Linked DNA regions of Sus scrofa. The protein of the gene in region 1 interacts with the protein of each later gene in a biochemical or structural test. Links are inferred from orthologs where the notes say so. Each region holds a gene or a part of one and is shown on either strand. Other genes may lie near its edges.

Evidence for each region.
Region 2: the proteins of NF2 (region 1) and CD44 form a complex in vitro, tested with the Homo sapiens proteins (2 studies listed by BioGRID, with this or other methods). The link is inferred for Sus scrofa from reciprocal best matches to the Homo sapiens genes NF2 and CD44.

Annotation. Positions count from the first base shown.
Region 1 is NC_010456.5:46,709,319-46,712,966, forward strand, and holds part of NF2 (merlin), read left to right. Parts: intron 1-314; coding exon 315-442; intron 443-2,446; coding exon 2,447-2,612; intron 2,613-3,648. UniProt on the Homo sapiens protein: Probable regulator of the Hippo/SWH (Sav/Wts/Hpo) signaling pathway, a signaling pathway that plays a pivotal role in tumor suppression by restricting proliferation and promoting apoptosis.
Region 2 is NC_010444.4:25,821,658-25,825,305, reverse strand, and holds part of CD44 (CD44 antigen), read left to right. Parts: intron 1-344; coding exon 345-461; intron 462-3,648. UniProt on the Homo sapiens protein: Cell-surface receptor that plays a role in cell-cell interactions, cell adhesion and migration, helping them to sense and respond to changes in the tissue microenvironment.

The sequences.
Region 1 (3,648 bases):
AGATGGGGTGTAGAGAGGCAATGTGGTTTAAGCAGAGGAACAGAGATGGGAAGTGAAGAGGTCCAGGGGTAATAAAGGATGTGGTTTATGATTTTGTAGGGGGGACGGTGGGAGAAGTAGATTGGGACTGTATTCCGGTGACCCTTTGGTCTGGGAGGAGAAAGTCTTCAAAACAAATCTAATTGCCTCTGCTTCCAATGTGGGCACGCTGGGCCCAGAGCCTTTTCGGCCTCTGGAGGGACCAGTGGTTGTTGCAGCAGGGCCCTCCAGTCTTGTGAAACCAAACCTCCTAATCAGAGATTCCTCTCTCGCAGCCGATGAACCCCATCCCAGCACCGTTGCCTCCTGACATACCAAGCTTCAACCTCATTGGCGACAGCCTGTCTTTCGACTTCAAGGATACGGACATGAAGCGGCTTTCCATGGAGATAGAGAAAGAAAAGTACGTAGTCCCCCCCTCCCCTGCATCCTGCATGGCTAGCAGGTGAGCAGAATGAGTGGATCTGGGCCTGGGGATGTGGAGGGCCGCCGGTCACTAACTCCTGCCAAGGTGTGCTCCGTTCTCACCCACTGGAAGAGGAATTTCCTAATCTGAATGGAAGAGCAACAGGCCAGCATTCACTCTTCCAGGATAAAAATGACACTTGATTAGTGACCTGGAGTTTAAAGTGGCTCCAAAGCCCACCTAAAGTATAGAAGGGGATGTTGGGGGTCTCTAAGCCTGTCCAACGGCTGCTAACATGATGGTTGTGTTCTAAGCTGGTGATGGAACACGTTTCCTACTTGTGTTCTCTGGCAGCTGAGCTGTGGCGGTCCCATGTCTAGAACAAGGGCGAGAGAGAAGGAACTCAGGCTTCAGGCTGAGAAGAGCAAACAGCCAGGGCGGCAGCCAGCTTGACCCCAGCACGCCCTGAGCTGCTCTCCTCCCTCACTTTAGGGTCAGGGAAGGGGGTCTGAGAAGGCAGGGAGCCCCCTGGCAGAGGACAACTTAGGAGGTCCCTAATCAAAGATAAATGAGCCATGGAGTTCCCGGGGTGGCACAGTAGTTAACAGATCCAACTAGGAACCATGAGGTTGCAGGTTTGATCCCTGGCCTTGCTCAGTGGGTTAGGGATCCAGCGTTGCCTTGAGCTGTGGTGTAGGTTGCAGACGCAACTCGGATCTGGTGTTGCTGTGGCTCTGGCGTAGGCCAGCGGCTTCAGCTCTGATTCCACCCCTAGCCTGGGAACCTCCATATGCCACAGAAGCAGCCCTAGAAAAGGCAAAAAGACCGGGGAAAAAAAAAAAAAAAAAAAGATAAATGAGCCAGCTTGTGCCACAGCTGGCCAGGGCTCAGTCACAGTAGCTGCCAGGCATTGGGTGCCTGGGTGACAGTGTCCTTCGGCTTTTATCTCATTTCATTCCCACTAACCGACTTCAAAGGTAGGTTTGGTGTTCCCATTTGTAAATGAGAACCCAGATTTCGAGTCTTTAAGGCACTCACCCAGCATCCCACAGCTGGTGAGGAACAGGCTTGGATCCGGCCCCTCGCCGGTCTGACTCTGTGCTCTCACCTTGTTTGATGTCCTTGGATGACCCTCCCAGTGCCCAGCACGGGCAGCCACAGGCCGTCTCTTTGGGCTTGAGCGCTGAGGATAGAGGGGACCCTCGTCTCTGTGGCACCGTGGTCTGAGTTCCCCCCAGCCCTCCACTGTTTCCCAGGCATGCTCAGCGTGACCTGGTTGCGATGAGGGTGAGGCTGTGTCCTGTTCAGTGTCCCGCTTTCACAGCTTGTGTTTTCTGACTCATTGCCTGTGCGCACGTGGGCAGAGTCCATAACCAGCCACGGGAATGGCTGTGGAGCATCCCCTGGGTCTGTGTCGCAGGGTTTGCCTGGCCATGCCCGTGCAGTTGGACGCCCTCGGGGTTCACCCACACAGATACAGTATCTGCTTGCAGGGGAGGGTGAGCGTCTTTCTCTCCCTAGTGCTGGCTGAGTGAGCCTCTGTCATCTTTAGGCGATGATGTCCCTAAACAAGTAGGGATGTGGCCAAGGCCTATCAGAAGAGGTCACCAGAATGAAATCACCTCTCCAAGAAGGGCTGAGACAAGGAGATTAGGATGTCAGGAGGTTTGTTTCTCCAGTTGTTTTTTGGACAGAACTAAAAGCTGTCTGCTGTTCATTACAACTGGTATGAGAGTTTACTGAGGCTTTCCTACACTTCTTTCTGTTTAATCCTGACCATAGATAGCCCTGTGCTCATTGTCCCTATTTCATGGATGAGGAAACAGAGCAGTTAAGTGACCAGCTCGAGCTCCCACAGCCCATGAGTGGCCAAGCAGAGACGTGAACCCCAGGCTGCAGACCCTGGGTCCCGGGCCAAGCAGCCTGTGGGTCTGGAGCCTCTCAGCCACAGTGCGTCTCCCAGTTGGCCAAAGCCGTGACTCACTCTCCTCTTGCTGGCAGAGTGGAGTATATGGAGAAGAGCAAGCATCTGCAGGAACAGCTCAATGAACTCAAGACAGAGATCGAGGCCTTGAAACTCAAAGAGAGGGAGACGGCCCTGGATATTCTGCACAACGAGAACTCTGACCGGGGTGGCACCAGCAGCAAGCACAATACCATTAAAAAGGTACCGAGTCGCTGGGCTTTTGCTGATCTTGACAGTCGTTAATGAAATGAGAGGTTGGCATCTGGTTACCTCTGTCATTCGACTGTTGTCATTTTTTATATATCCTTAGTTGAGGAAATTTTTTGACTCACGCCAGAAAGGGAATTTAATCTGCCAATGGCTGTGAACCCATTGGCTTGATGGAAGGGAGCTTGTGTTAAAAGCTCTGATGAAATGAATCACTGTTACAGGACGGATTTTGATCCATCATTTAGCAGCAAAGCAGTTCTGTCTTTTAAGCCGAGGGGAGTTCTGCCCAGGGAGCTGCCTTAGTTAATGAGAAAGCAAAATGAAAGGGAGGCTGTTGAGAATGGACTCTCTCTCTAGTCTTTTTGTGTTTTTAAGTGGCAAGGACTATATAGTTCTAGAGCTGCTGAATTTTTAACTTTTTTTCATACTTGAAAGGAAATACCTAGAAGGACCTTCACGTTTTAAAAGATGAGACTTCATTTATGTTGCCAACGGTTTCATATCTTTATGGATATTTTGAGCTTTCAGCATTTCCGAGGAAGTTACATTCCATACTGACTGCCTACCCAGGAGTGTACTTCTCTTACATTGGGCAAAGCAGAAAGGTCTGCTCCTGCCAGCTGATGTCTGCTCCTGACTGTTACCCCAGGGCCAGGTTCACGTCTAGAAAACAGGGGTCAATAAGGCAAGACTGTTCATTGAGCTTAACTGATGAGAGTTAGATATAATTATTTATTTATTTATTTATTTGGCTTTTTGCCATTTCTTGGGCCGCTCTGAGGCATATAGGGGTTCCCAGGCTAGGGGTCGAATCGAAGCTGTAGCCACCAGCCTACGCCAGAGTCACAGCAACGCAGGATCCAAGCCGCATCTGCAACCCACACTACAGCTCACGGCAATGCTGGATCCTTAACCCACTGAGCGAGGCCAGGGATCGAACCCGAAACCTCATGGTTCCTAGTCAGATTCATTAACCACTGCACCACGACGGGAACTCCTAATTTTGTACCCTTTACCTTAGTCTTTA
Region 2 (3,648 bases), on another chromosome or scaffold:
AATTCTTAGTGAACTTTCATGAGGATACTCAGTTGAACTTGGGAGTCATTTATTAATTATATCATCTGGGCACAAGATATTTTGTTGCTTCACTGTCAAAATGAGCATGTTAAAATGGTTTGCAGTGCTGCCCTGGACAAAGTGGTTATAGTGGAATAATAGGTAATGGTTAAGAAATTCCATGTCTGTTGGTTTTCTCTTGGGAGAGATTAGTGAAGTCACTCAAAAGGATTCAGAGGAGATGCTCAGAGGTACTATTGAGATGGCATGTCCTTTAATGGAAGAACAGAACCATCAAACATTGGTTGATAAAGTCACCATGTATTTAACCGTCATCACGACAGATATGGACAGAAGTGGCACCAGTGCTCATGGAGAGAACTGGACCTGGGACCCACACTCTTCTCTCAGTCACCATGAGAATCATGACGAAGAGGAGACCCAGCATCCTACAAGCACAAGTAAGAAGGATGGCGGTCGGCAGTTCTGGTTTAGAAGAGTTAGTGAAGTCAAATTGGGAAGACTTTCTGGTAGACATTGGCTGCATCTTCTATTTCCACGCGTGATTTCTTTTATGCCCAGAGCATGAAAAGCTGCCAAATATGCATATAGTTTCTTTAAAAATGGGAAGAAAAATGATCATGTGTCAGGTTGCCCCAAAGGCCAAAGTGTTTAAAAATATGTGAGATGGGGTTTTTGTGTTAAAGATTTGCAGAGGTTCCACTTGGGTAATTCGTGTGTTTTTACGGACAAGTATGATGAAGAGTGTGTTCTTTCGGTGCTTGGTAGTGAGATCTGGAAAGAAAGCGTGACGAGTGCAATGATCTTTGGAATCCTTTTTTTCCATGATGATCTTTGATGTATCCAGATTCTTTTTCACATTCCGTTCCTCAGTGCATTGTAGGAAAGCAACTCTTGTACTCTTTGGAGGAAAGGCAATAGCTCAGACGGTCTACATTGAATTCCATGAGTGTTCTTTCTGTTTTTAAGCTCTGGGTAACTTGGGGAGGGCTTCGATGCTGTTATTTACGTGCAGACACCTCAGGTTTCTTAAAACATTGTCAAGTCTTAGTACTGGCCTATGAGGATAGGACATAAAAAAAAAAAGAAGAAGTGTATACTCTTTTTTTTTCTCTCTCTCAGGGAGATGCCTATGGTGTTTAGAACAAAAGAAGCTTTATTTAGGATGGGAGTTTGTAGCATTTTAAAAATTATGGTTCAACCATTGTTCTCATAGCCTTGAATACCCTTAAAGCAAACGTATAAGCAAAAAGTACTTGGAAGCCAGGTTTGGTTGGAGGATGTCTTCAGACAATAAAAGAAACGTTTAACACATCAGTTAGCACTGAATAGGTTCACAGGTCCTGGGTGTTGTACCGAATATGCCCAACAGACCTACATCTCATTACTTATCCCAATAGATTTGATAGACACGTGAGAATTATGGGCTGAATTATAAGAGTCTTCTGCTAGAAGAAGGAAATGAGAAACAGAAGTCTCTTCAGAGTGGGATTGTGTACCCATCCCTTTGGGTCCAAACAGTAGGTCTTAGAAATTATTTAAGACAGTTTGTGCTTGAAAAGCAGAAAACTATTTCAGAGGCTTGGCGTTAATGAGCCTATTGTCAAAAGATGGTGGGGGAGGGGCAGGGTTACTAGTTGAAAAATGGGACATGACAGATCCTAACTGGGAAAGCAGCAGCTGCTAGAAGAGAGCCAACCTTCACATTTCCAATGGAAATCCTATGCTTTGCTGACCCATATGTTGAAAACAAGAAGGGATTTACTGGATATTTAAGGGATCATTGTGTTTATGAAGACAGTGATAGGAAGAGTATAGGACAGTGTGTGTGTGTGTCTGTCTGTCTGTCTGTGTATTTTCTTTTTCTTTCTCATTTTAGAATTTAAGTGGGGAGTCTATTTTTGGATTAATTTTTCTGTTTTTGTGATTACACCCAGTAGTTCATTATTTGTCAGGAGGTAGTGATTTAGCCAGAGGTGAGGGAGAAAACTTAAGATTTGGGTTTTTGTTTTGGGGATTTTGTTTGCTTGTTTGTTTGTTTGCCATCCCCCTGGATAAGCAGTTATCCCCAGGAATGTTTTGGCCAATGCAAAGGTAAACCAAGAACAGAAAGTTTTATTTTTTTTAATGTCTTTGCTATTAGCAGATCACACATATTTTATAAAATAATGGAATAAACCAGTTTTACAAGTTGCAAAATTCACTTTTACTTGGCAAGTTAATACACTCTCATTTTCTCGATGAACTAAAAATTTGCCATTAGTTGCCATGGATGATAATTTCAACGGCTTTTTGGTTTTTCTCAAAGGCACCCTGATGCAGTTTATTTCATTCATCCTCTCCTCTTCAAACCTGGGCAGTTATGACCCTGAGTATTTGAAGTTTTAAGCCTGCCACACACTCTTCTTGTTTATACAGTGCCAGACTCTGGCTAGAGAAGTTTTCTTCCACTGAATTAATTTTGTTAAAAAATAATCTTGGCACTTTTAGATGCTCCATAGACAGAACCTCGTACTCTGTCAGCGGAGTAGCCTCGCAGTCATTCCTGACAGCTCTCATCCTGGGCAGACCCCCTGCTGGTGCAGTTCCAGGGTGCGATTGTGAGTTATGTGACCACACTTAAGCAGGTGGCCGTCTAGGCTGATCTTGTCGTGATTTTTTTTTTAATTTTAAAAATATTTCTTTTTATTTTCTTTATTTTCTTTGTGGCTGCACCTGTGGCATATGGAAGTTCACAGCAACGTGGGATCCTAGCTGTTCTGTGACCCATGTGGAGGCTCGTGACCATGAGGGGTCCTTAACCCACTGAGAAAAGCCAGGGATTGAACTCACAGCCTCATGGACACTATGCTGGGTTCTTAACCTACTGAGCCACAATAGGAACTCCTGGTCATGGTTGATATATAATGTATTGCTCCCTCCAAAATCACTGGAAACAAGAGGTCAATTTTTTTTTTCAAGACCACACCTGTGGCATATGGAAGTTCCCAGGCTAAGGGTCAGATTGGAGCTGCCATAGTTCATAGCAATGCCAGATCCTTAACCCATGGAGTGAGGCCAGGGATTGAACCTGAATCCTCCTGGGTACTAGTCAGGGTACCCCTGAGCTACAATGGGACACTTCTAATTTTTTTTCTCCTTGGAGTTTTTATTTTTAAGATTATTCGTGAATTATGTAATTTCAAAATGATATTAATCTTTAGGAAAATGTGAGGAGTTGACTTTTCTTTTTTTTTTTTTTTGTCTTTTTGCTATATCTTGGGCCACTCCCGCGGCATATGGAGGTTCCCAGGCTAGGGGTTGAATTGGAGCTGCAGCCACCAGCCTATGCCAGAGCCACAGCAACGCGGGATCCGAGCCGCGTCTGCAACCTACACCACAGCCCACGGCAACGCCGGATCCTTAACCCACTGAGCAAGGCCAGGGATCGAACCCGCTACCTCATGGTTCCTAGTCAGATTCGTTAACCACTGCGCCACGACGGGACTCCAAGAGTTGACTTTTCTTTAATGCTTTTATAGCAAAAGGATTTAAATTTTTAAATAGGGAACATTTTGCATTTAGAGTACATTTTGGAGCATCTAAGCTTTCCCTCACTTCCTGGACACAAGGATGCAAAGATAAATA